Linked DNA regions of Mus musculus. The protein of the gene in region 1 interacts with the protein of each later gene in a biochemical or structural test. Links are inferred from orthologs where the notes say so. Each region holds a gene or a part of one and is shown in the gene's direction. Other genes may lie near its edges. The genes, in order: Hdac4, Nr2c1, Camk2d, Nacc1, Ywhaq, Pparg and Zbtb16.

Evidence for each region.
Region 2: the proteins of Hdac4 (region 1) and Nr2c1 form a complex in vitro, tested with the Homo sapiens proteins (2 studies listed by BioGRID). The link is inferred for Mus musculus from reciprocal best matches to the Homo sapiens genes HDAC4 and NR2C1.
Region 3: of the proteins of Hdac4 (region 1) and Camk2d, one has a biochemical effect on the other in vitro, tested with the Homo sapiens proteins (2 studies listed by BioGRID, with this or other methods). The link is inferred for Mus musculus from reciprocal best matches to the Homo sapiens genes HDAC4 and CAMK2D.
Region 4: the proteins of Hdac4 (region 1) and Nacc1 form a complex in vitro, tested with the Homo sapiens proteins (2 studies listed by BioGRID). The link is inferred for Mus musculus from reciprocal best matches to the Homo sapiens genes HDAC4 and NACC1.
Region 5: the proteins of Hdac4 (region 1) and Ywhaq are reported together in a solved structure, tested with the Homo sapiens proteins (2 studies listed by BioGRID, with this or other methods). The link is inferred for Mus musculus from reciprocal best matches to the Homo sapiens genes HDAC4 and YWHAQ.
Region 6: the proteins of Hdac4 (region 1) and Pparg form a complex in vitro, tested with the Homo sapiens proteins (2 studies listed by BioGRID). The link is inferred for Mus musculus from reciprocal best matches to the Homo sapiens genes HDAC4 and PPARG.
Region 7: the proteins of Hdac4 (region 1) and Zbtb16 form a complex in vitro, tested with the Homo sapiens proteins (2 studies listed by BioGRID). The link is inferred for Mus musculus from reciprocal best matches to the Homo sapiens genes HDAC4 and ZBTB16.

What each region holds. Positions count from the first base shown.
Region 1 is NC_000067.6:91,981,297-91,984,987, reverse strand, and holds part of Hdac4 (histone deacetylase 4), read left to right. Parts: intron 1-210; coding exon 211-327; intron 328-414; coding exon 415-610; intron 611-2,720; coding exon of another isoform or gene 2,721-2,735; coding exon 2,736-2,959; intron 2,960-3,691. UniProt on the Homo sapiens protein: Responsible for the deacetylation of lysine residues on the N-terminal part of the core histones (H2A, H2B, H3 and H4).
Region 2 is NC_000076.6:94,164,839-94,168,529, forward strand, and holds part of Nr2c1 (nuclear receptor subfamily 2 group C member 1), read left to right. Parts: intron 1-579; coding exon 580-759; intron 760-2,571; coding exon 2,572-2,719; intron 2,720-2,799; coding exon 2,800-2,890; intron 2,891-3,691. UniProt on the Homo sapiens protein: Orphan nuclear receptor. Binds the IR7 element in the promoter of its own gene in an autoregulatory negative feedback mechanism. Primarily repressor of a broad range of genes.
Region 3 is NC_000069.6:126,795,924-126,799,614, forward strand, and holds part of Camk2d (calcium/calmodulin-dependent protein kinase type II subunit delta), read left to right. Parts: intron 1-914; coding exon 915-1,037; intron 1,038-1,778; coding exon 1,779-1,862; intron 1,863-2,314; coding exon 2,315-2,357; intron 2,358-3,691. UniProt on the Homo sapiens protein: Calcium/calmodulin-dependent protein kinase involved in the regulation of Ca(2+) homeostatis and excitation-contraction coupling (ECC) in heart by targeting ion channels, transporters and accessory proteins involved in Ca(2+) influx into the myocyte, Ca(2+) release from the sarcoplasmic reticulum (SR), SR Ca(2+) uptake and Na(+) and K(+) channel transport.
Region 4 is NC_000074.6:84,684,893-84,689,109, reverse strand, and holds the start of Nacc1 (nucleus accumbens-associated protein 1), read left to right. Parts: upstream 1-1,247; 5' UTR 1,248-1,435; intron 1,436-1,504; exon of another isoform or gene 1,505-1,741; intron 1,742-1,961; exon of another isoform or gene 1,962-2,062; intron 2,063-2,410; exon of another isoform or gene 2,411-2,786; intron 2,787-4,217. UniProt on the Homo sapiens protein: Functions as a transcriptional repressor. Seems to function as a transcriptional corepressor in neuronal cells through recruitment of HDAC3 and HDAC4. Contributes to tumor progression, and tumor cell proliferation and survival.
Region 5 is NC_000078.6:21,414,562-21,419,024, reverse strand, and holds the start of Ywhaq (14-3-3 protein theta), read left to right. Parts: upstream 1-1,588; 5' UTR 1,589-1,933; coding exon 1,934-2,227; intron 2,228-4,463. UniProt on the Homo sapiens protein: Adapter protein implicated in the regulation of a large spectrum of both general and specialized signaling pathways. Binds to a large number of partners, usually by recognition of a phosphoserine or phosphothreonine motif.
Region 6 is NC_000072.6:115,470,180-115,473,870, forward strand, and holds part of Pparg (peroxisome proliferator-activated receptor gamma), read left to right. Parts: intron 1-2,681; coding exon 2,682-3,132; intron 3,133-3,691. UniProt on the Homo sapiens protein: Nuclear receptor that binds peroxisome proliferators such as hypolipidemic drugs and fatty acids.
Region 7 is NC_000075.6:48,665,163-48,668,853, reverse strand, and holds part of Zbtb16 (zinc finger and BTB domain-containing protein 16), read left to right. Parts: intron 1-3,528; coding exon 3,529-3,691. UniProt on the Homo sapiens protein: Acts as a transcriptional repressor. Transcriptional repression may be mediated through recruitment of histone deacetylases to target promoters. May play a role in myeloid maturation and in the development and/or maintenance of other differentiated tissues.

The sequences.
Region 1 (3,691 bases):
GGAAAACTCAGGAATGGGAGCCCTGATTCAGTTCCGGTGGCATGCTGTGGTCTTCCCTGCACTGGAGGCCACAGTCTGCACAGTTTGTTTTGCACCAGGCAACCACACATCAGCACCTCATGCTGTAAGTGCCCTTGCAGCCCTGGGTATGCTGCTTGTATTGGAATGTCTGTAGTAGACTCTGACGGTCACAATGTCTTCTGTCTACAGACGAGCTTGGCACACAGACTTGTGACTCGAGAAGGCTCAGTCGCCCCACTTCCTCTCTACACGTCACCATCCTTACCCAACATCACCTTGGGACTTCCTGCCACTGGCCCTGCCGCTGTAAGTTGGCCTCTGTGGGTCTGTGTGGCATGGGGTGGTTGTCTACTCCAGTTCCCACAGCCTGAGTTTACTGGTTCTGCCTTTCAGGGTGCGGCAGGTCAGCAGGATGCTGAGAGGCTTGCTCTCCCAGCTCTCCAGCAGCGGATCTTGTTCCCTGGGACCCACCTCACCCCGTACCTGAGCACCTCGCCCCTGGAGAGGGACGGTGCAGCAGCTCACAACCCCCTCCTGCAGCACATGGTCCTGCTGGAGCAGCCACCCACCCAGACACCCCTTGTCACAGGTAAGAACCACAAGGAGATCTCTGTGGCGTTAGCAGTTTCCTTGGCCTCCTGTAGCTTTTAAAGAAGGCTGGAAAGAACAACTGAGCCCATACAACAGTAGAAACTCTATGGTTCTCTGTAATGTGATAGCTACCTTAACTGTGGCAAAAAACTGTGTCCTGCTTAGAAAAATGACCAAGGAGTACCAGTCAGTGCCAGTGGCCCTCTGTTTAGCCTCCTGCTCTCCCACTGATTGGTTTCCCTACAGCTCGAGGAAGCAAGTGCATGAAGTGCAGAAGTGACCGTTGATTTCTCAGCTTGAGGATGATTGCATTTAGAAAAATACAAGTTTGAGACAAAGTAAACTCGTGACATTTACCCAGTTACCACACTTTGGAGGGACTGTTTCAGAAATGATGGCATGTGGAATGTTTCTCATGAGACACACAACCCTCCCTATTGGTGACTTGGCCCAGTTCTCTACATCATCCTTAGGTCAGTGGGTGACTTCTTCACACCTGTTGCTTCACTCAGAATCACAGCCAGAGCAATCCTAGAACTGGCGTTGTCCATGTTCCAGTGTTCCCCTGGGCCAGCCTCTGGTTGGTGTGTTAGAGTTCCCACCTACTGGGGTGAGTTGGTCTGTAGGGCTTGGTATTGGTTTCCTGTCTTGTGCTTTTTGTCCCTAGTATGCCCTTGGCTCTCCCAAGTCAGTGATCTGGACAGGAACAGCACTTGGTCTGCTGGGACACCCTCCTCCAGCTCTGAGAGCAGTGTCTCAGTGACCATGGACCGCTCCCTACACTCAGGCCCCTTCCTGTCTGTTCTCTTGGAAGCCAGGGACCATGGGCTTCATCTTCCCATCTATGAGTGAGATGCTAGCACAGAGTGACAAAGTGAAAAGACTCAGTTCCCGTAGGCAGCGTCTGACACCCAGCAGCCCAGTCGGTGCTGATCTCCAGGTTGAGGTTTTTCCTTTGGGGTTAGCTGGGTTTTGGTTTTGGTTTGTCTCTTTATTGTATTTATTTGAACCTCTGTTGCTGTTTTGATATTAAATCTTGCTGGCCTCAAACTCGGACTCTCCTGCCTCAGTCTTCTAAGTGCTGGGATGTCAGGGCTGTGTTTGTGACTCTCCCCCAGCACTCTATCCAGTCTTCCCAGCACCCCTTCTGATGCAGCTCTCGCTGGGAAAGGAGCCTCCTGAACAGGATTTCCTCTGCTCAGCCACAGTGGTCCAGAGAGGCCCACGTTCCCCATTGTCTAGAGTAATACTGTGTGTAGAGCCCAGACCTGTGAACATTCAAGCCAAAGTAGTAGGGTAGCATCCCACTACTTAACGTGGCATGGCTGTCATCTCAGCACGATCTAAACACAACACCACTGACAAATGGGTCAGCTCTTAGCAGAGACCCCAGCCTTGCACCACAGCCCTCTTCCCGGGCAGACTGACCAAGGGAAGTGTGTGAAGCACACATTCTTCTCTGAGTCCTTCCACTTCTCTGAACTCTGTCTGTCTGTCCTGCAGCCACTGCTGCCCTGCACCATCTGCATGCTGTGCTGTCACTGCCCCGGCCTGCTCTCTCTGAAGCCCGGCTGTCATGCCTCTAGGGAAGATCTGATTCCTTCCCTGTGCAGCCCTTCTTTCCTCTCCCAGTGCCACTCTGTATTTGATACAAAATCTCCTGTGGTAGAATCCACTGAAGGTCAAGGTCTTGACAGTGCCTGGGTGTCAGTTTGCCCCTGAGTTTCGGCATGTCAGCCGCAAACTGTTCTTCTTTCTGGTATTTGGGGATGTGCATGAGCTAGAAGAGCCATCCTCTGGAAACGTCTATTGGATGTGTGGCAAGCTGATGCTAGGCTGTTGCCATACTTTCTGGAGTGCTCCTTGGTGAGCTCCTGGAGAAACTGCATCAATGGGATCTCCAGGTAACTTTACTTTCTCTGCCCTGCTAAAGCCCAAGCTCCAGGCTTACAGCCTCTAGCTGGAATCGAGCCTGTTTGCAGACATGTGTCATAGGTGCCTGGGCTGGCAGGCATGTTATTTTCTCCACTGGTTACTCAACAGCATCTCTCCCCTCTCTTCTTCCTTTTCCCCTCTGCTGTTTTTTTTTTCCTCCATATTATCTTCAGACTGGTATCTTTCAGGCCTGGGGGCGCTGCCCCTCCACTCACAGTCCCTGGTTGGTGCGGACAGGGTGTCCCCATCCATTCACAAGCTGCGGCAGCACCGCCCTCTGGGGCGCACGCAGTCAGCACCCCTGCCGCAGAACGCACAGGCCCTGCAGCACCTGGTGATCCAGCAGCAGCACCAGCAGTTCCTGGAGAAGCACAAGCAACAGTTCCAGCAGCAGCAGCTGCACCTCAGCAAGGTGGGTGTGTCCTGTTGCTTTCTAGAGCTAGTCACCTGCAGCCAGACGGGGTGCTCCTTGCTGTCCTCCCTCAGCCCCTGCTGACCATGAGTGGCCAAAATGGGGAAGGGAGAAAACAGAGCACACACTCTGGTGCACGGTGGGGAGCCTAGGGAGGTATGCTGTTGTGTGGAGCCTTCCTCACAGCCCATCTGCACCTGTAAGCAGTGGGCCGCATCCTTGCAAGAGGCCTCTGCATCCTTGTGTGGGAATCCACATAGGCAGTTCTTTTAGGGACTTTCTTAAGTCATTTGCCAAGTAGATCTTTAAGCAAACTCTCACCAAAGGCCTACAACTTTACAGTGGCATCAAGTCCCTGAAACATATTTTTCAAGTCACCTGGCACCTGTAACTGTTTAAATGTGGGAGTTATACCATCAAAAGCAGCTTGGAAGCAGGCCAGCCTGGAGAGGTCTGTGTACTGTCAGATTGTCAGAGTCTCTCAGCCCCATCTACAGGAAAAGTTAGTACTGTGCTGCTGGCGAGCAGGGACAGAGAGTTTAGTGTGTCCCCTTCAGGTTTGTAAGTCAGATACCTTCCATATCAGCTCAGTGACAGTTCTGCAAACAGCCCAACAGCTTTTCTCCAAGAGAAATGGAAATGTCTCACAGAAACCTGTCCACAATCCTCTTCTGTACTGCTCATAGCAGCCAAACTGTGGATGGAGCATCTCCAGGGTTTATCCTGTGGTGA
Region 2 (3,691 bases), on another chromosome or scaffold:
CTGTTATAGCCAAGGATGCAGATGGGGGTAGAATGCTTGCCTAACAAGTCTAAGGTGCTGGATTTGGTCCTCAGCAGGAGGAAAAGAAAAGACAACAAAAAACCCAACCAACCAACCAAACAAACAAACAAACAAACAAAAACCCGCACACTGTTACACAATGTATGGCAAAACTATAATTGTAAGTTTTCTCAGAATAAAAAATGTTAACGTGAATAATAGAATTTTTGATAATGATTTTATTGTCTTTCCTAAGTTCTCTAAGGTTTTTTTTTTTTAACTTAATGACTAACTTTATTCAGTGCTTCATAAATCACCAGCACAGGATGTAAAATTTTATGTTTTCATTTTTATGTGCTCTAACATTTTTAATGTTACATTATAAAATTTAAAACTCTGTATCATTATTAAACTTACCACTGGGTATGGTTGTTTTGATTTTCTACTTAAATAAACCCTAAAAAAAAATTGTCAGAATCTCAAAATCACAATTTCGTTTTATATATTGCTGTTTTAACAGAAAAGATGAATTTATTTTGCTTCTGACCTATAGTATGCTTTTAAACATTTCATCTCTAGGGCGTCATTACGGAGCAATAACTTGTGAAGGCTGCAAAGGATTCTTTAAAAGAAGCATCCGGAAAAACCTAGTCTATTCCTGTCGAGGATCCAAAGACTGCGTTATCAATAAGCACCACCGAAACCGCTGCCAGTACTGCAGGCTGCAGAGGTGCATTGCCTTCGGGATGAAGCAAGACTGTACGTGCTTGACGTAAAGGGGGCGTGGTTCTTGTACGTACTTGACTTAAAGAGGGCGTGGTTCTAACACTCCAGCGAATGGAAAGTGCATACGACTTAGCATGTTTAAGCAGCTCAAGATTACATGGTGCAGTAGTTACTTTTCTGTCCCTGTGATAAAACGTCATGACAAAAAGAACTAAAGGAAGAAAAACGTTATCTGGGCTTATGGTTCCAGAGGGCAGGGAGGCACAGTGAGCTAGCAGGACCATGAGGCAAGCTGATGACATTTTAGCCCCAAAGAGAAAGTAGAGTGAGTTCACTCACAAGGACAGGCTTTCTCCAGCAAAGCTCTTCTTGTTCAAACCATGGTATGGGCCTTTTAATCCATAGCTGTCCAACTAACAATAGAATGACTATATATATATATATGTTAAGTAATATATATGTATATATATATTACTTAACAAACAAATATTTTTGATAACACAATAACCTGTGACAAACACATCAGTTGACACTTAGCACTCAAATGATTTTCGTAAGCTATCTTGGAATTTTAAAAACATAATGTGCATAATAGAATTCTTAGTGATTTTGTTGCCTTTCCTAAATTTTCAGTAGCATTGTTAGTGTTACATTGTAAAACTTAGAACTCTGATCATTAAAGTGCTAGACAGCAGTGTGCTTTGTGACAGATGCCCAAAACGTGGACTTGGTAGCATCAGCCAATACTGATCTGTCCACGGGCTAATGTGTCCTCACAATCTCAGCACAGTTCTCTGCGCCTGGTTACACTACACTGTTACCACCTTAACAGAGAAAGGTTGGAAACTCAGCAAAGCAGACAACTAAGAGGTGCCTGAAATTTTCTGATGGTTTGCTCTCCCCTCTGCCCCCAAAGAAAATAGGTTTAGGAAACGTTTTGCCTCCTCTTTAGATATTACAAGATTTTTACAGATATCACATATTGTATAGATGAACTTATGTGTAAGACAGATTTATTTTCTAACTAGAAAGGCACTACTTAGGCCTTTTCTATCAGTATTATCTTCAGTTGGTCAAGTTTCTTTTTCTTTAGTTCTCTATATACAAGGGGCATGTCACTTTAGTTCTTCCTTCTTGATAGTGAGGGTTTTTTTGTTTGGTTGTTTTTTTTGTTTGGTTGGTTGGTTGGTTTTTTTATTTTTTTTTTTTTTTGGTTTTTCGAGACAGGGTTTCTCTGTGTAGCTCTGGGTTTTAAGAGTTCTATTTTTCTTCCATTGGAGTGCCGCAGTAGAGAGAGGTGGGAATAACAGGTAAATTGACCAGTTTTACTAATAGGGATTTAAATATGCTTGGCCCAGGGAGTGGCACTGTTTGGAAGTGTGGCCTTGTTGAATATGTGTGTGCCCTTGTTGGAGTAGGTGTGTCACTGTGGATATGGGCTTTAAGCCCCTTGTCCTGGCTCCCTGGAAGCCAGCATTCTGCTAGCTGCCTTCAGAACAAGAGGTGGAACTCTCAGCTCCTCCTGTACCAAGTTTGCCTAGACACTGCCATTCTCCCACCTTGATGATAATTGACTAAACCTCTGACCCAGTAAGCCAGCCCCAATTAAATGTTGTCCTTTATAAGCGTTGCCTTGGTCGTGGTGTCTGTTCGCAGCAGTCAGAATGCTAATACAGGGAGCAATGTTGTTGAACATGCATAGATTTTGTGAAGATTGATGGCTGCCTTTGGAATTCAGCTAGAAACCGTGACTCTCTCATTAGCCATGTTGGAAACAAGCAGCTTAAATTTACAGATTTCCATGGAGTCTGTATTGTAGTGTAATTATTTAACATGTTTTTGTAGCTGTTCAGTGTGAAAGAAAACCCATTGAAGTTTCCCGAGAAAAATCTTCCAACTGTGCAGCTTCAACAGAAAAAATCTACATCCGCAAAGACCTCCGAAGCCCTCTAGCCGCAACGCCAACCTTTGTAACAGACAGCGAGACTGCCAGGTGCCCTGCAGCTATTAGTGCATCATTTGCTTCTCTTCCCAGATCTACTGAGACTAAAACCTGTGCCTCATTTGTTGCAGGTCAGCTGGACTGTTGGATTCAGGAATGTTTGTGAATATTCATCCGTCTGGAATAAAAACAGAGCCAGCTATGCTAATGGCACCAGATAAGGTATGTAGCCTAACTAAAGACCCTCTTCCACCTCTCCCCCCTCCCCGCCCCCATCCTGCGTGAGTCTGAGCCCTTAGTCCCATCCCATGCTCTGTCTACTGCAGAGCAATAATTTCTGTTTCCTGTTTTCAAAAGATTGTTATTTATGTATGTACTTTATGTGTGAGTGTTCTGTTTGCATGTATGCCTGCATGCCAGAGAAGAGCATCAGATCCCACTACAGATGGCTGTGAGCTGCCATGTGGTTGCTGGGAATTGAACTGAGCACCTTTGGAAGAGCAGTCAAGGCTCTTCACTGCTGAGCCATCTCTCCAGCCTCTAATTCATGTTTCTAAAGCTTAACTTATTTGATAAAATTCTTCACTATGCTATTAAAAATGTTATCTCTAACATGAAAGCAAAGGACATTTAAAACTGTTCCCAGTTTCTTTCATTTTAAAATAAATGTTATCTGAAAATTAACTTGGGGTAGATCCAAACCAAACAGAATGGAATACTGCCTGTAATCCCAGCAACTCGAAAGGTGATGACTACAAGGGTAGCCAGCCTGGGCTACACTCTGATTTGAGGATCATCTGTGCCCTATTGTGAACCCATCTGAAAAGGCAGAAGGATAGCACAGACTTCCTACCTCTATTCCTCTTATTTTTCCCTGCTAGATTTATTTGTGCCAGTACTTAAGATAGCTCCAAGTAAAACTCCTGGAGGCTGGAGAGATGGCTCAGAAGTTATAAGCACTGGCTGCTCTTCCTGAAGTCCTAAGTTCAATTCCCAGCATCCACATGGTGGCTTACAATGATC
Region 3 (3,691 bases), on another chromosome or scaffold:
CCTATTCATTCAATGTTTGAAGCGTTGTGCCATATACAGGGGTGTTGTCATAAAGAACCAGGCAGCTGTAGGCACTGTATTTTGTGTTATATCTGTTTAATTTTCTGAGCATACTTCTCAGATGTAGTGGTTTTCTGGGGTTCAGGAAGCTGTGGTAGATCTGATTAGCAACAGACCACCAAGCAGTGGCCACAGTCTTTTTTTGAGTGCAAATTTGGCTTTGGGAAGTGCTCTGGATCGGCCTCTCAGTCCAGGATCCAGCCACTGTCCAGCCAGTTACCATGTGCTATCTACCCTTCTACACAACATGATGGGGAAATGGTTTCGTGTAGGGTAGAATAAGAGATGATGACAACTCAAGATTATTTCTTTCTCTGGCCAGCTCATGGGGCACCCAGTTGCAAAATCATGCCTATCTTGTCAGCATTACTTATAGTTAAGTGTTTTAGAAATTCACACATTAATATCTCAGACATGTTCACATCGAAACCAGTGGATCAAGTTAAAAATAAACATGACCAATTTTATCTTGTTAGTTATTTCTTTGTTGCAGCAGACAGTGGTATGAATTAATCTATTTTTTATATAATTTAACTTACATAATGGCAAATTTTATGAAACAATGCACTGCTTATAGAAATGAGGGATATATTTGGATTTTCTCTATTTTACTCTGTGTGTGTGTGTGTGTGTGTGTGTGTGTGTGTGTGTGTGTGTGTTACTGTGTGTGTGTTTTAACACAGGATCTCATGTATACCAGGTTTCCCTTGCTCTTGCTATATATCTGAAGGTTGTCTAAAAGTCGTGATCCTTCCGCCTCTGCCTCTCTAGTGTTGGGATTAGAGGCATGTAGGAACACGTCTAGCTTAGTGTCTCTATTTTTAAAAACTCTTTACTAATTTCTATCTTTGAAGTTTCCGTCACCAGAATGGGATACAGTGACACCTGAAGCCAAAGACCTCATCAACAAAATGCTGACCATCAACCCTGCCAAACGTATCACAGCCTCTGAGGCCCTGAAACACCCATGGATCTGTGTAAGTCACTTTCGCATGCACCCCAGGAGCCAAACTGAAGGATAAACCCCTAGTCACTTTTCATAAGTTTAAAATAATCTTACAGAAAAAGATGAACCTTAGTATTTAAGAAATAAATTTATAGTCGTGAAAACCACCATTGCCAGTATAGCAAACTAAACTGCCCAATTTTCTAAGTATTGTCTGTAGTAAGATGAATGAGGTGTTCCTATGCCAGTAACTGATAAGACTCAAGAACAGGGACTAAGATAATGACTTGAATACTTACTGCACCCCAGAAGGGAAAATGTTACAAAGTCTAATTCTTTATCATTCAACAGCCTTAGAAACATGTGAGGCTTAGAAGCTAGAAGTAGTTTTAGGGGCTACACGATGGCTGCAGTAGTGTGACTGTCTTGTAGAAGCCCTAAGGAAAAACCAAGGATATTGTAAGAGAGTTTGAAATTTTCTGTAAATTTCTACGGTTAGGATATACTGCTAAGTAAGGGGAAGGTATTCTACTAGGAAATGCTTGCCAAAGTAGTGATCTGAGAGTCTAGTGATCCTCATTTGTGTACCTTCTACTTGTCAGTGTTTAAGCTCAGTCACTAGCAATCTTTATAAAACCATGCTTTTTCGTAGGAGACTTTGGCAATTGAGTACTTGCAAGGTGACTATATGTAAAGATCGGATGAAACTGAGACTCTTTCTCGTTCTTGCTATGTTTTAAATATCAAGTCACCCTTTCTCCTCTTCTTTTAGCAACGCTCTACTGTTGCCTCCATGATGCACAGGCAGGAGACTGTAGACTGCTTGAAGAAATTTAATGCTAGACGGAAACTGAAGGTAAGAAATTTGACATTGTTGTGGGAGGGCTGGAGGGTTGATCTGGTGAGGTGAAAGCTACTGAAAGCAGAAGTCATGGCAAAGCTTTTGATGCTATAGATCTCAGTAGTCAGTCCTGGATCCGAGGGAAACGGAGCATGCTCCATAATCAAGCCCAAGGATGCAAATAGGCTGGCTAGGGCAGTATGTGCTGGGCTTTCTCTCCTAAGAGGAAGCAGCTGTTCAGCTTGATGATCTAAATGTGGCTCAGAAAGTTAGAGCTGCCCAAACATGCTGAGAGCCACAGGCTAGGGCTTCCAGGAAACAAATAAACAAAACAAAGCCAAAGAGCAGACACCGCAAAGTCCCTATCTGAAAATAAAGCCCAGAGATTTGTGAGCCCTTGCTACCTGATTTTAGGTCAGAGGTTTGTTAGGGCCAACTATAATCCATTTCTCTTATTTCTTTGATAGGGCGCCATCTTGACAACTATGCTGGCTACGAGAAATTTTTCAGGTATACATGTTTGAACTCTGTTCCTTGTCCTCTCACCTCTGACCTTCTCTAATGTGTGTGTGTGTTTGTGTATGTGTATGTGTGTGTCTGTGTGTGTCTGTGTCTGTGTGTGTCTGTGTGTGTTCTTAAGAGAATTGAGAAAGTCTAATAACTACAAATGATACACACACACATCACACAACGGAGAAGGGGAGACTTCTTATAGTCCTGTAGCTGTCTGTAGGACTCCACTCATACTGGACACCTAAGTCTCAAATGCTATGGTCACACAATAATGATATGTATGTCTCATTTTTATTGATATTTCATAAATAACCATGAGGATTTTTGTTTGTTTGTTGATTACTATAGGGAACTGCTATAAGAAAGAGTTTAAAATGAGTCATTTTGTAGAACCCTATTTTTATAGGCCTAATTTGCTTTGAACTAATATGTCTTCACATTCATTTAGACTAATTACAAGGACTAAAGCTGCCTAATGAGAAGTTACAGAGAACTGGCCACATGCGCATATGGGGATGTCATCCAATAATAGTATTCCTCAAAATGATTGCATGGGGTGGGGGGTGACAGAAGGAAACACAAAAAAAAAAGAAACTTACATACGAGGTAAATTCAGCCAAGAAGTTTCTTTTCTCTAAAAGTGACTTTCCACAATGGACGTAAAGTGTGTATTACTTCCAGGAAAGGATGCTTAAGTCTTGGAGTCCTCCCTGATAGATTATGTAAAAAGCACTAGGCATTCAAAAGCCAAACGTTGGCAAGTGCTAACCTGACATATATGGAGTGGGCTGAGGCAGCAACTAAGTTTCTGCCTTATTTGATAAACTTATACTTTTGGGGAAGGCCATCAGGTGATGCATGTCCTTAGTCCCAACATTCTGGAGGCAGAGGAAGGTTGAACTCTGTAAGTTCAAGGCTAGCCTGCTCTACATAGAGTTTTAGGCCATTCAAGGTACATGGTGAGACCCTGTTTTAAAAAGGAAGAAAGGGATGGATGAATGAAGGGAGGGAGGGAGAAAGGGAGGAAGAGAGAGAGGGAAGGAGGGAAAGAGGGAGGGGAAGAGGGGAGAGACAGACAGACAGATAGACTTATAGTTTAGATGTTTATTCTTAGAACACTTGTCAAAAATGACATTACTTTTGTTTTGGGGTGGGGTTATGCAGCTCTGACTTGGTTTGGCCCAGTCAGGATGTTAAAGTGATGGTCGGGTGGCCACCATTCTAAGAGTATCAGACATTCTTCAGTCAGCTCCTAGTTACGGTTTAGACTAGTGTTTACAGAACAGTCCTCCTTCCCACTTAGAAAGATCGTGAAATGATGAGCTGGTGAG
Region 4 (4,217 bases), on another chromosome or scaffold:
GGAGGCACTCTGCACCTTTAGATGTCTTCTGTGTGCACCTTGTAGGTTAACTCAGGCTCTAGAATAGTATTCACTGTCTTTGAATCTCAGTCCCACCACGTACTCTGGGCAAGTTAATTAAAATGTAAGGCTCCTATTTCCCTTACCTGTTAAATAGGAATCTTAGCTGTCAAGGGCAAAGATTAAATAACCGAATGCCTGGGAAGTGTGCAAAGGAGCCACTCAGACTGAGTGTTGGCCTAATGTATGCATCAGGAAAATATGGAGATCCGGGATGTGAGAGTTATCTTAGCTTGCCTTGCTATATGTTATCTGTTAATTGGGGGTAGAGGGCACTCTTAATCCAGGTTGTCCTGGAGTTATATAGCCCAGGGCAGATTAGAGTTTCCTGCCTCAGTCTCTCATATGGTGAGATTTCAGGCATTTCTACCAGGCCCAACGGTACTTATTTTGTTTCAAAATTTTATTTTTTTGTTATTTTTGTGTATGTGTGCAGTTGTGTGTAAGTCCTCAAAGAGCAAAAAGGTGATAGTTTCTAGAACTGTAGCCATCTGACATGACTGCTGGGAACTGAACTCTATTCAACAAGAGCAGTACACACTCTTAATTTTTTTGAGACAGGGTTTCTCTGTGTAGCCCTGGCTGTCCTGGAACTCACTCTGTAGACCAGGCTGGCCTCGAACTCAGAAATCCTGCCTCTGCCTTCCAAGTGCTGGGATTAAAGGTGTGTGCCACCATTGCCCGGCCAGTAGACACTCTTAATCCAGTCCGCACTCTTCTGTTCTTGACTCTGCTACCCATCCAAAAAGTAGTCAGGCCTCTCTAACATTAGTTATAAGACGTATAATTATCTGAGTTAGTGCAAAATGCTAACAGAACTTCACATCGCATAAGCATCCTGAGTTTTCACTTTATTAACCTCTTGAACCTAAGTTTAAATCTTCGTATTCACTTTCCTGTGATCTTGATAGTTTACTCAGCTCAGCTCCATGAAACCTCATTTCCACAAAGAGCCTAAACTGTTCCTGGAACAACAGTTGTTCTCATTTTACAAGAAACTGAAGCTCCAAGATACAGAGCAACCTGTCCCGCAGTCACTCAACTTAGCCCGTCTACAGAACCGAGACCCGGGAGGAAAGAGGAGCTGGTGAGAACCGAAGCGCTCGAAGCGCGGCTAAGCTTGCCTAAGGGGCGGGGCCGAGGCAGTTTTCCTCCCTGCCGGCAGCGCCGTGCGCTTCCTCGGCGCTCGGCTGGGGCGGCCTGGCCCACAATGAATGGCCGCCGCGGCTACCACTGCTGCTGAGGCGGAGGCCGCGGAGGCCGCAGAGGCGGAGGCCGAGGCCGAGGCGCAGGGAGGCGCGCCCCGGGCCCAGGCCCGGCCCCAGCTGCCGCTGCGGAGCCCGCCGGGAGGCCCCGGAGCGCGGCCACAGCGCAGGTGAGATGGCCCGCCCCAGGCCCAATTCCGGCCTCCTCCCGCCCGGGGCGGCCCGAGGACATCAGAGGTTCCGGCGGAGGGCCGAGAGGCGAGGCCTCCGGGCGCCCTGCTGCGAACCAGAAGCCGAGCCCGCGGCGCTGACAGCGGCGGGAGGGCAAGAGTGAGATGGCCGAATCTCAGCTGGCGGCCTACAGCGTCCAGCCCGCGGGCCCGGCCCGCAGGGCTTGAAGGCCGCTCGGGGGAGGCGCGGGTCGCGGGATCCTTGAAGTCTCAGGGCCGGAGGGGGTAATCGCGTGGAGCCGGCAGGCGAGGCTGGAGGGGGGAGGGGAGGCCTCGGGCTGGCGGGGGGTGGGAGGGCGGAGGGCTGCGCCGCCCGAGGGAAAAGGCCTGGAGGGGTGCGGGAGGGCCGGAGCTTGCAGGTAGAGGGCGCTGGGGAAGGGGGTGGGCGGGTCAGGTTACAGGCCTTGGGGGGAGGTGAGGAAAAGCCCGGGAAGTTAGACTTGGGGGGGGGTGGGCGGAGCTTGCTCGAGTGGGGGCGGATTGGAGAGAGCCCTAAGATATTTGCAGGGGGTCGCACGAGGTCAGAGACTAGAGATGTGCGGGTAAACTCCGACGGGAGGGCATCAGGTAAGGCTGGGCGTGTTGGGAGTTTGCAGGCGGCCCAGGGCCTATGGTTTAGGATGTGGGGAGCAGGTTAGGAAAACCTGGTGTGAGCTAAGGGATCTGCCCCCCCCACACACACACATCTCCGTATGTTTGCTTAGGGTCAGAACCGGGGGGGGGGGGTTCCTCTTTCCCACGCCTCTTCTCTGACACCTTGGCCAACTGCTAACAAGGACAGGCCAGCGGCTGGATGGGAGTTAGCGTGGGCTGCACCGGATACCTAGTTCAAACATCTTGTTTTCGGTGTGTATGGCCCCTACTCAACCCACCGCCCTACCCCACCCACTATGGAGGCAGCCCAGCAGACATTACCTGATTATTCTAGAGTCCTGAAATCGTTCTCAGCCTTCTGGCGCCGGAACCTGGGGGCTCCAGTCTAGAAGATGAGCCCTCACAGCGTTGCAATACGCCCTAGCTTTCCAGGCCCAACCTGCTGCCTGGGCCTGAATTCTGTCTCCTCCTGGGAGATAAAATATTCTGTCGCCTCCTGGGATGGTGACTGCCTGAAGCTCTGTTGTGTCTTTGAGACAAAACAGGTACCTACACATCCTGACTTGTGCCTGGGGGAGGGAGAAGGAGGGCTCCTGGTCCCAGGGCCTTCCCTCCCTCCTTGGTGCCCCTTCTAGGGCAGGTTGTATGCTAAGCGTGGAACCAGCTAGTTCATTGATTACTCGCCACCGCTGGGTCTTTGGCTTTCTCTTTTCAGAGAAAGAAGCTGGGGTTCGGGGCGGGGCTTGTCCCTGGTCATATGACTAGACTGTGGCCTATGCCTATTAAGTCAAGTTCGCCCTCCTTGGGTATCAGCAGAGAAATTCCTGCTGTTCCAATTCCCTGTTGGAGTCTTCTTGGACCTGGCCTTTCCTGGGCTCTCTAGACCGGCTCAGTCAATCCCCTTGCAGTAGTTCCAAGGAACTGTGTGTGGGCTTCTTCATCCTGCTCATACCTTCTCTCCCATCCCGCATCTGGGAGTCAGGGGCACGGGGCTCATGAAAGTGCTGGTTCTGCTGCAGGAAGTGGTTGTAGAAGAGGGTGGTAGTGGTTTGGGAGTGAGATTTTGCTTTGCCTGGACTTTGTGCGCCTTACTTTGGTTTCTTAGCACACTGCTCCAACTCTAGACTAATTGCAAGGTTAACAGTGTGTTCCTTGTTTTGGAAGGGTAAAGTTTTTGTTTTAGTGTTGTTTTTTTGGTTGATGTTACTCTAGCTCAGGCTGACCTTGAACTTATTATAGCCTAACTAGTCTTAAACTATAGCCCTCTTGCCCATCAGCCCAGTGCGGGGATTGTATAGGAATGAGGACCACACACTGTCTTGGTGACTTTGACTGGACATCCTCAGCACCAGAGTCAGCTACAAACTTCTGGGTTGCTGGTATCAGGCAGTACTGGGTTTATTGATGATTTTCTTGAGTCTCCATTTTCCCTCTTATCCTTGGAGTTTCCAGAACTCCACCATCTTCTGGGCCATGCCCTCCAGCCTGGTCTCTTGATGGGGGAGGGGAGCTGAGGACTGGTCCAGCAGCCTGTGTTACAGAACTTGGTGCTTTCAGATTGTTTTCTCTGCTGCTGCAGCTCTCCAGGAAAACCCCCCTCTTGCCTCTCAGTTGTCTCTGTTAGTTGGGCTGATATCACCTCAGCATCTTTAGAATTACCTTTATTCTCACCACTGGCTGCTGCTGCTGCAACTTTGCTTTAGCTGTTGATGCACAGAGACCGATGTGGACCAAGGGGAACTGCTGGGGCATAGACTGGCTGGCTGTTCCTAGGCCTTAATGAGTCAGGTATCCAGGACAGATGGTGTCAACTAGTTACAGCTGGAATGCAAAACTGGTGGGAGTTGGCCCTGCAGTATGAAGGCAGAAATGGCCAGGTGGCCCCTCCACATGCAACTAGAACAGAAGGTGCACTGGTCATATCTGCTCTTCAGTGAGGACCTTAGGCAAGCCCAGCCTCCGCTAAAGTGGTCAGTTTGCTTTCAGTGTTTTGTGCCCACTCCCTTGCTGAAAACTGAAGAAGCAGTTCTGAGTAACAGTCAGCAGGCTCTCTGAAATGTCTGTTCAGATGGTGACCTAACTTAAAGAAATGGTCCCCAGAGGTTCAGAGAAACTAGCTGCTCTGTTG
Region 5 (4,463 bases), on another chromosome or scaffold:
CTGCACTGGAGCATAGTAAGGCGTTTCTGTATTAAGACAGAGTAGAGTCACTTTCCAACCAGGCCTCTCCTGGTCAAAGCACAAAGCAACCTTTACAAGTTGGGTAGGGAGGGGCAGCTGGGAGGAGATCTGAATTTCTGGAAGCTTCGTCTCTTCCCCCCCCCCCCCCCATCTGTGCTCAGTGTCAGACCTTCCTTTCTGCAGTCTTCGGTCTGCTTGGTTCCGTTTAGCATTTGAATCCACTTTGCCTGTGGCAGTCACTGAAGTTCTTTGAACCCTTGAGGAACTACTGGAACTGGCATCTCTTCAGAGCCCAGGTGGCAGTTTCATTCTTTGAGTCCGGTAGGACAGCCACCTCACTAGGAATTGGATTGAGGGCTAGGAAATAAGGGAGCCTATTTAAAGGAGAAAAATGTTAGCTGTGACCCTGAATACATGGCATCTGGGGCAAATGCTCTCATTTCAGAAGGGTGTTTATTGTGCAGAGAAAAACATGAGATCTTCACAAATATATCAGGAGAAAAAAAACCCATCACACACAAAAAACAAAAGCATGCATACATGCTTTACAGAGTACAAAGGTGTGTGTGTTCGGGGCAGGGTGTACTTAGACATTAATGTGGAAAAGTAGTAAAGAAATGTTTAAGAAATATGCTTCCGGGGATCGGGTAGTCACAGCTGTGTTTGTTCAAATCGTGCTTAATGTCATTTCCCCGTTTTAAAGAAATGCTTACCTGACGCTGCCACGCAGTCCTGCCCAGATCTCCTGAATCTACCTTTCCATAAGGGAATTGCTGGCTTTCGGGTGCCTGTGTGAAAACTTGAATTAAGCCACTTTCTCTGGGAACGAATCCTTTTTTAATGGGGATCAGGATATTTCTAATTTGTAGCCGAAACAGGAAAATTGTAAGGGTTGCATTTTAATGTCTTGGGGATACAAACCTTTGTCAAGAACAGGAAGGTAGAAGAAAGGAAGGCGCTTGTGCATCAAAAGGGCTAATTATCTCACCCCTGCCAAGTCCAGCTGCAGCCGCAGCAGCTCGAGAGCTGCAACGCCCCATCTGCAGTGGTTGCTGCTACAGGACACGCGGTCGCAGCCTCGGAGGTCGAAAGCACCTCCGGTCCCGTGCCGCACCCAGGAGTGCCGGGCTGGCGGGGAGGATGAGGGGAGTTGGAAAAGCATCGCCATGGCAACAGTGACGTCCATTCACCCTGGATCTAATTGGAGGAAACCCCGTGGCCGAAGCCGCAGCCTGCGGGCCAACCGAACCTACCCGAGCCGACCCACCCTCGGAGCCTCCGCTTCGCTTCCCGCCCCGCCCCCTGGGCCCCCTTCCGCGCGCTCGCCCCTCATTGGACAGAGGAGAAGCTAGAGGCGGGACTCCTTGGGGAGGTGCAGCGTTCTATTGGTCGGTGGCGAGCTCGTCGGCTCCGTGCTAGGCTGAGACGGGAGGGTCCTCGGCTAAAGCCCAAAGCAGATCAAAGTGGTGGGACTCGCGTCGCGGCTGCGGAGACTAGAAGGTGAGTGCGGACACAGCTCTGGGACTGCGGCTGCAACAGCCGCCGCGAGGTACCGAGGCCGGGTTGGCGGAGCACGGTCCTCATATCTGCTAGGCTACCGCGCGCCTGAGGTTCGGGCTGGGACGGGAAGGTGCGGCACCAACGGCCGCTTCCATCTTGGGCCGGGTGGGGCCCGCGCTCCGGCCTTGGGGAGGCGCGGCGGGCGGGCCGGAGGGCGCGGGCGGAAGGCGGCGGCCCCGTGAGAGGCCGGAGGACGCGCCGCCTCGTGCGCTGAGACAAAGCGGGCGTCCGGCTGCATTGTCTGACGCGCTCTCTCCTCGCTCCTTTTTGTCCTCGCCGGCGCCGCCCCGCCCCGCCCCTCGCGGCTCTCAGGAGGACTCCGGATCCGGCTCGGCGCTCGCCCTCGCTCGCCATGGAGAAGACCGAGCTGATCCAGAAGGCCAAGCTGGCCGAGCAGGCCGAGCGCTACGACGACATGGCCACCTGCATGAAAGCCGTGACGGAGCAGGGCGCCGAGCTGTCCAACGAGGAGCGCAACCTGCTGTCGGTGGCCTACAAAAACGTGGTAGGGGGCCGCAGGTCCGCCTGGAGGGTCATCTCGAGCATTGAGCAGAAGACCGACACCTCTGACAAGAAGTTGCAGCTGATCAAGGACTATCGGGAGAAAGTGGAGTCGGAGCTGAGGTCCATCTGCACCACGGTCCTGGTGAGTTGGCGCCGGCATTAGTGAGGGAGTAGGGCGGCGGGAGCGACACCCCTTTTGTGTGGTGTTCCCGATGGGGAGAAACCTGTGGGATAGAGAGTTTGTGATTTGAGCCCCAGGCTTCCTTCTTACCTGTTTCAGAGCTTTCTCGGGGGTGGGTAACTCTTTTTTTCCCAAGCTCTGGGGTACAAAAACTTGGGGGGAGTAGCCGCGTAGGCTTGCACAAGACTGAAAAAGACCTATTTAACCTTGTGCCAGGAGAGTGGTCCTGAGATCTGTAAGTTCTTTCATGTCGTAGAAGGCATGGGGACTTTTACCATAGAGATGCTAGAATTTCCCCAGCCCCCCAAGATTTAGGAGTGAAAAATCTAGACATGTTTTATTTTTCATGTAAGAATATGTTGAGCCTTTCCTTGCTAAAGAGGTGTGGGGGTGGGTGGGTGGATGAGTTCACTGGATGAAAAGGATACAGATAATTTGAAGAATACCATGCCCTGGTCAAATTTCACTATTTAATAGTGTTTGTTTGTTTGTTTTCTATTTGTTGCCTCACTTTAGTCCGGTGTATGGAAATGAAAGCATTTCTGGTGTGGATGGGCAAGGAAGGCTTTCCAGGTTTTGCACTATCCAGTCCCAACCGGGATGTTAACTGCTATGATTCACCCTTATTAGAGGGGGCACTTTTAAATCTTGAGTCATTCATTGCCCAGATCTCTTATTCAATAAAGCAAGTTTCTAAAATTTAAATAGCATGCCATAGAGTGTCAGATATTAATGCTGCAAACTGTGACTCCTGTTCACATTGATAGGTAGTTATAGACTGATGATGAAGTAGCTGCTGGGTTTGCTCTTCACATGCCACCTTTATATGAGGCAGCTGGTAGCTGATAGGCTTGCCCTGGATCTTTTTAGGTGTCTTTTATGCAGGGTTTCATAAGAGAAGGGAAAAAGGGGCTTTCCCTTCTAGCCTTCATTTCTTTATCACATCGAATCAATGGAACCTAGAACATTTTTCCCTGTTGTGTAAAACCTACCTGTTTTACTAAAACAAAAGAGATTATCTGAGCAAAATCATGGCTGATAGATACAGATGTTAGGGGTCAGAAGCAATCAGTTGGTAGTGAAGTGCAGAAAACTCTGTTTTGTAAAGATGCCATTTTGTTCTGTTAACATCTATGTGATCTTAAGTTCCAGTCCCTGTTTAGCTTAGGGGAGGCAGCTCTTTGGCCTGAATTTTTTTACATTCAAGAGATGTCAACTAGGATAGTAATAGCAGACTTTAATACCATATATTGATGGCTATTGTTAACACTTTGGGGTTTATTTACCCATGCAGTTCTGAATCACCAGATTTTTGTGTAAACTATCAGTTTAATTCTGAAACAAAGGAATATTTATTCCGTCTTGCAGCTCTTACACACAACAAAGAATTGTGTTCTGCCTGTATGTATGTATACCACCTATGGGGATGCATTGTCCAGAGACTGGAAGAAGGGGTCAGGGGTTATCTCCTGTAACTGGAGTTGTTAGCTACCATGTGGGTGCTGGGAACTCAACTGGGTTCTGGGGTCCTCTGCAAGAATAGCAAGTGCTGTTAACCACAGAACTATTTCTCCAGCCCAGAAAATTTGGGTTTTATGGAAGCATAGATGTGGGAGTTTTCCTTTTTTTGATACGGTTTGAGAGAGTGACCAGACATTTATTGGAGACCTCTCATGCATATCCTTTTAATAAGAGAACTTTTGAAATTGGGACAGTAGTGCTTTTTTCGTGCACAAGACAGAAATAGAAGAGGTAGGTAGGTTGACTAATTTGTACACTGATGCACAAATTAGCTGAATTTTGCCTTGATGACCAACCTGGAGAAGAACCCCGGGAAAGCATGTCTCCAGTTGGCAGATATTCTGGAGAGCTTGATATGTTTTGAAAGGTTAAACAATACAGGGAAGAACAAAGCTGAGAACCACTGATTTGATTTGATTTGATTTTTTTTGTCCTTGAACAATTTGTAATATAGAGAATTGTGCTAGGTAATTTTTATAAGGTGTTTATGAATAAAATGCAGTTTAGTTAGAAGGAAACAAACCTCAGATAAGACTCTACAGAGATAATAGATTTGAGGGTGAGTATTGAGGGAGCAGTGTTAGAAGTGATTGCCATGGGGAGGATTTGGGATAGAGCTTGAGGGAAGGTGTTTTTTTGTTTTTGGGGGTTTTTTTTGGTGTGACTAGAGGGTGGT
Region 6 (3,691 bases), on another chromosome or scaffold:
TTTCCATCCTGGGGAATGCAACTCAGAGCCTTGAGCATTCTAAGCAAGCACGGTACTTAGGCCTAGCTGAGGAGATGATTTCATGTTCATGTTATCTGCAATAGAGCATGTTTGGTTGGACTGCTTTCTCTGTTGTCCACACTCAGGAGAATAAAGGAAGTCAAGGGGCTAGGGACTTGACATGCTTGGAACCGTGTACTTTATCCCTAGCAAACTGGGCCAGGGGTGATAGTGCACCCTTGTGAAATCCCAGCACTTGGGAGGTGGAAGCAGGAGGATCAGAAGTTCAAGGTCATCCTCTGCTATATACCAAGGTTAGGTACCAGAGGCCTTGTCTAAAAATGTTAAGTCACTTATTTTTTGTTAATATGCATTATAATACACTATGACACCCCTAGAACACCAGTAGAGGAGGAAGAGGCAGGAGAAGGAAAGCATTTCTTCTAGGTTCTGTAAAATCATCTTCATCCACTCATAGTTCTCTCAAGGTTAGACTCTGACTCTCAGGGATAACACAGTACATTTAAATTGTTATAATTGACTCTGCCTTTTCTTTATCCTCTTCTTACTAATGATGCCAATGGTGAAGACTTAGGGTAAACCAAAGCGAGATGTCCAAGAAACAGTGAACATGATTTGCTCCTAGTTGTCTTCAACAATCAAAGGCAGCAAGCCTCTGAGTCCTCTAGTCTCTCCTCTCTGAGGTGTGATGAGCATTATGGTTGAAGTGAACTGAGGACAGCAGTATTTCTAGAGCAACCCAACCCTTAAGTGTTTGGAAATCTACTCAGTCTAAGAGTCCTCAGTGTGGAACAGACTGAACTTGGTGAAAATCAGGGATGCTTATCTGCAAGAGTCCGTAGTTAAATCTCTAGCCAATACATCTTGAAGCTGGTTACTCTTGCCACTTATAGAACCCACACCCATTTAAATACACACACACAGAGAAAGAGAGAGGAGGAGAGAGACTGAGAGAGAGAGAGAGAGAGAGAGAGAGAGAGAGAGAGCATACACAATAGAAATACAACTAGAATCTCCTCTAGAAAAGAATGGAAACCTTCAATTTTGTCAGCTTCCCAACAATAATAGTGCGGGCTTTTAATCCCTGCACTCAGGAGGCAGAAGCAGGTGGGTCTCTGAGTTTGAGGGCACCCCGGTCTACAGAATGAATTCCAGGACAGCCAGGGCTACACAGAGAAATCCTGTCTCAAAACAAAAACAAAAACAAAACAAACAAGCAAAAACAAAAACAAAAAAACAAAAACAAAAACTTGAGAATTTGGAAGAGTAAATGACTTTCCCTAAGTCATATAGTTAAAGCACTCACCCAGCAGCTGACAAGGCTCACAACCATCTATAACCCTAGTTTCAGGGGATCTGACACACTGACCTATACAAGCACTAGATACACATATGATACACTTATATGCATACAGGTCAACCCCCTTATACATAAGAGAAAATAAATAAATCTTTGGGGAGGGGGAAAGATTGAAAACCAGGACCCAGATAGCCTCAGTTTTTATTCCAGTGCTCAGCTATATAAATTATTTAATAAGATTGAGGTTATCTCTTTCTAGGGTTCAGTACATGTAATAAGTGCAAAATGTTCCTTCTCCTAGTTGATCAACCTTGAGAGTTTCACAATGCTCATAAGCCTTTGGCTAGTTCTTTTTTAAAAGAAAATAGGGAGAAGAGTGTCATGACAAATATGAATTACCTTTCAAAGCAACCTGTTTATAAGCCTGAGTAATTGATCCATTTGTTTTATTTATTAGTTGATCCCTAAGAACACCTATATTAAAATGTAAGTTCAGAGCTGGGACTGCAGCTCAGTGATAGAGCATTTGCTTAACACACAAGAGGCTCTGTGGTTCTGTCTTCAAAACTACAAAAAGTAAAAGCTCAGAGCCATTCTTATTTTACTATTCTTTGCAATGTTTTACCCACAGGCCTGCTACAGCTGCATTTTCTGAAACAGATGGCTTCCAGAGCACAGAAAAAAAAAAAATAGACATTTTCTTGGCTCAATATTTTTAATCTGCTTTGAGTGATTTTTTTTATAGTGAAATAGATTTTATATGTTCACTGTGTTTCCTTTATGGTCTGAGTAAATTTAATCTAATGCTGTAAGCTTAGTTTATGTTCAAGTGGGTCTTTTCAATTATAAGTTGCTTTAATTATTTTTTTGTTTAAAAAAAAGGCTAAATGTATGTTCTCTTGAAATTCAAGAAAGACAACAGACTTTTTGTCAATTTAGTCAGTCTCAGGGTAACATAGTAGTAGTATAAGTTGAAGGAAGAAAGAGCCGAGTTGAAGCTGGGCAGTGGTGGTGCATGCCTTTAATTCCAGCACTTGGAAGGCAGAGGCAGGCAGATTTCTGAGTTCAAAGCTAGCCTGATCTACAGAGTGAGTTCCAGGATAGCCAGGGCTACACAGAGAAACCCTGTCTCAAAAAAAAAAAAAAAAAAAAAAAAACCAAAGAAAAAAAGAGCCAAGTTGATAAAATGTTTGCACACAGCAGATCAATGATAAATAGGAAGAGCCTCTCTCCTGTTTAAGTGCCTTCATCTTTCACAGTTTTCCTCAGCAAGGAAATACATATATAAAATAGTCTTCAGGACTAGGGTGATGCTCTCTCAGAACAAGGAACTCAGCCACTTTCCCTTTTTCATTTGCAGCCATTTGTCATCTACGACATGAATTCCTTAATGATGGGAGAAGATAAAATCAAGTTCAAACATATCACCCCCCTGCAGGAGCAGAGCAAAGAGGTGGCCATCCGAATTTTTCAAGGGTGCCAGTTTCGATCCGTAGAAGCCGTGCAAGAGATCACAGAGTATGCCAAAAATATCCCTGGTTTCATTAACCTTGATTTGAATGACCAAGTGACTCTGCTCAAGTATGGTGTCCATGAGATCATCTACACGATGCTGGCCTCCCTGATGAATAAAGATGGAGTCCTCATCTCAGAGGGCCAAGGATTCATGACCAGGGAGTTCCTCAAAAGCCTGCGGAAGCCCTTTGGTGACTTTATGGAGCCTAAGTTTGAGTTTGCTGTGAAGTTCAATGCACTGGAATTAGATGACAGTGACTTGGCTATATTTATAGCTGTCATTATTCTCAGTGGAGGTAAGATTCATCTTTTGATTTTTGTCAAAGAAGATGGGATTGTGGTGGAATTGTTGGTGGGATTGTGTCTCGGTGCTCTGTGCTCCTTTTTACTGACTGTGCGTGTTGTGTAGAACATGCCAATGGCACAGTGCCGTGAGCATGTCACTCCCCAGGCTGAGAACCATAGGCTTGCAGAGTGAAGGTGGTGGGGATCCCAGGTTCCTCGAGTTTGTTCATCACACTGCTCTTCTCCAGCCAAATCCAATCATGAAAGACAAATGCCCTCTACTTCTTTCATGTTCTTTTTCCTTGTCTTGCCCCCTTTCTTCCCAAAAGGCCAATCTGGTCTTCGGTTCATTTTAGTAATGATGTGTGTAACTTAACTTTGATGATGCTTCTGTGGTATATAGCAGGCAGCACTGTGAGATCTTGGCCCAGTTAACACTTGCACCCCACCTTCCCTGCATCAGGAATCAGGGAATGTGCATTTGCTAAACTCCACCTTCTCTCTCATGTGGTTCTCCCTTTTATGCCTTTGTAAGGCACTTGGCTGTGATTACGAATACAGTGTGAGCCC
Region 7 (3,691 bases), on another chromosome or scaffold:
TCTTCCTAGCTGTAGACTGCAGACTTCTGACTGTGTCTTGTGTTCTGACCTTGAAAAAGGATCTTTTCATCTTGTTGAGGAGGGCTCCACCCTTGTAATAAAAGACTTTGTTAAGCCTGAATCTGGTAATACCATCCCCTTGGGGGTAATGATTTTTAACATACTCAGTTTTGCAGTGGGGAAGGGGACATCTAGACCTTTACAGCACTCCAGCCCTGTGGCCCCGCTTTGCCTGTGGGATGCCTTCCATCTATGCTGTCTGTCCTCTGTGATCTGACCTCCCCAGTTTGCCAGGCTTGTCTCCATCCTCTGTGCTACCTCCTCTGAAATCCGTTTGCAGCTCACTCTTAGCCATTTTCTTTTACCCCTGGCTTCTCAGATGCACCCCGTTTCTCGGAGCTGAACTCAAAATCTCTGAAGCTCCGTTGGAGCCACCCTTTCTTATCTATGCTCTGGATGGTATTTCTTGACCAGGCTTGGTATCCAGCTTCTCTACTCCATCTCAGCCTCTTCTTGGTCACTTGGTAATGGAGTAAGACAGGTAAACGGACACAAAGCAAATTCAGGCCATTCTGTGAGATGCAGGTGGCCCAGGAGAGCAGCTTCTAAGCACTTTGGGAATAGCAAGGGGACAGGATGCCACTCAGTGTGCTCTGCTAGGTGGCATATTTCAGGGTATCCTCCTGGAGTGACATTCATTCACTGTCCAAGTCCATACTGGGGATCTCAGAGTAAGAATTAAAAATGTTGGCTGGTAGAAGCATGCCTGTTCAGGAAACAAGCTCGCTCGGTCTGAGCACCTAGCCTAGTTAGGCTTTCTGTGGGATAGAGTTCAGGGTAAAGCGGGAATAGGTGCTGAAAACCTATGACACTGGACTGTGGTGCTGTGTGCATTAGAACTTGTTTGTGGGTGGAATCTGCTCTTGCTTACCGGGCTGGACTGGACACTGCAGGACTCAGTGTCAGAGCTTGTAGCTGCTTCTGCCCAATGGACTACCTCTTTCGTGGATGTCCTCCTGCATCGGATGGGACTCTCTTACTGGCTCCTTCCTGTGGATCTTGGGTTTGGAAAGTTTAAGTTACCTGTGTCCAATGACCTGCCTCTGACTGTGCTTCCCGGGCCATTTCTAGAGTGATCCCAGCATGCTTTGGTGCTTGCTCCTTACTGTCTAGGGGAAGCCCAGATAGACAGATATGTCCCAAATGAGGTTCAGAAGCTAGGAAGTGACTCAGTTGGGTACACTGACTGATGAGCAAGCATGAGGACTTGCATTTGGATGCCCAGCACTCACATAACAGCCAGGCATGGCTTCCTGTGCCTGTAATTTCCCCCTGCAGGTAACAGGGACAAGCCAATCCCACAGCTCCCTGGCCAACTAGTCTACCCAAAACTACAAGATTCAGTGAAAGGTCCTGTCTTAATAAAATAGATGGAGAGCCATCCTGAGGTTAATAACCTCTGGCCTTCAAACACCCCATCACACACGTACACCCTACAAAGGTACATGGCACACATACTAAAGACTCTAAAATAAGTGGGATTCAGTTGGTGGTTTCTACAATCAAATGGACCAAGGCATTTTCTAGATTCCCAGCTCTACCTCTTTCTCACTGTGTGACCTTAGGCAAGTTATTTAATCTCTATTTTTCTCTTTGGAAGAAGGTGGCAACAATGCCTGCCCATTAGGGATGCGTGTTTTAAATGAGATGACAGCACAGATAAAGCACCTAGTGGAAATGGTGGTCTTTAGTGTCCTCTCCCTTCTGCTCTCAGACCTTTGGAGGACACCAGGGGTTCTTCCTCCGTGCAGCCCTCCCAGCTGTTGGTTGATGAAGCAAGCATGACCACAGGTAGCTAGAATGCAGTGTCTGCAAAGAGAGGAGCCAACGGGTAATTGTGTGGTGGTCCTTGCCACAGCTCCTTGCCCAACATTTTGGATTCCCTATCTCTAACAACATCAGCTACCAACGCAAGCCCATATGCTTTTCTCTCTGCCCATATTTGGGTGGCATGGCCTGTGCTCAGTCCCACAGTGCTGTCTCTTGTGCAAGTGACACCAGTGGAAAAGGGAGGTCCTTGCCTTTTATTCCAGACCAAGCTACATGTGGTCCTGAGGAGGCAAGACCCAGCCCTCCCATTTGCTGTAGCCATTGCTAGTCAGGGAGGCAGCAAAACTCTTCCCGTTCCTTTCTCTCTCACCTGGCCCGAAGAGCTTCCTTATGCCCCACTGAGCAGCCTGAGACTTTCAGTAGCCCAAATGCTCTGGTGCTCCTTCCTCTTTGCACTCAACTGTCAGACCTTGACCTGATCAGCTTTGAGTTGAGTCTCAACTGGAAGGCTGTGTCAGGAAGGTGTTGAGGGATGGAAGATAGCAGCCTGCCTTTGCGGGCTTCAGTAGGCACCTAGGCTACTGGGCCAGCCGAGCAAGTGACCAGGTAGAACTGAATGAATATTTCATGTGACTCACTAGTTGGAAATCCTTTAACAACTTCTTGTTGGTCTGAGGATGAACCCCTGGGCTTTGTAGTATGGCTGGTCAGGACCCACGTGATCTGGCTCCTGGCTCCTGGCTCTTCTTTCTTTGTATGTTCTCCCTGCTTCTAACGTTAGGACTGGTCACTGTGCTCAACCTGGTGTGGCTCTCCCTGAATGCTCACAGACTCGGTTCCAATCTCCATGCACTGGGTGCTGGGTGCTACTGAGATCAGAACAGGGACTAGTATACTCTTCCCCAGCCTTTCATCCCCAGAACCCCAGAGAGAGTCTCCCTTCTAGGAAGTATCACAGTACAATAGAATGAAATGACTCTCACCAATGCCTGAATTTTTTTTTAAGATGGGAGAGTGGTTATAAGAATATAGTCACCAGTGGTGGTGGTGGTGGTAGTGGCTCACACCTTTAATAGCAGCGCTCAGGATGCAGAAGCAGGCAGATCTTTGAGTTTAAGGCCAGCCCTTGTCTACAGATAGAGTTCTAGGACAGCCAGGACTACACAGAGAAATCCTGTCTAGGGGGTTGGGGTGGGGCACTGATCTAGAGCTAACCCAAGGGAATAAATGAATGAATCCTTTTACTGCTCCCAGTTGGGAATCCAATGGCAATTGGGGTGGGTTAATCTCCCCGTGTTTCTTTCTCCTTACATGAGGTTTGTGGTTTTCAGTGAGTTATGTCACAACAGTGGCCAGCTCGTGTGATCCAGGTTATTGTTGGTTCACACAGAATTTCCCGTCTCCCCACTGCTGCCTCAGACTCTGTAAGGTCCCCGAGTTCACTCCCTTAGTCACCTGCATTGCGTTCAAACCTCTTGCAGAGATGCATCTACGTTACCATCCACATGGTTTTGTATCTTTCTCCCCAAACCTTTAGGTCTCGTGGAGGTCGGGCACCCGTTGGAGCTACATTCAGGGTGCTCACGGACTGGACTGTGGGCTTTAGGATCTCTAGGGGGCAGCGCTGGGTCTTCAGGGGTGAAAATCTGGCCTTGGGTCTCTCCGTTGCTGAGGCTCTCCCGTTGCTGTCTCCCACAGGCACGGACATGGCTGTCTTCTGTCTGCTGTGTGGGAAACGCTTTCAGGCACAAAGCGCACTCCAGCAGCACATGGAGGTCCACGCAGGCGTGCGCAGCTATATTTGCAGTGAGTGCAACCGCACCTTCCCCAGCCACACGGCTCTCAAGCGCCACCTTCGCTC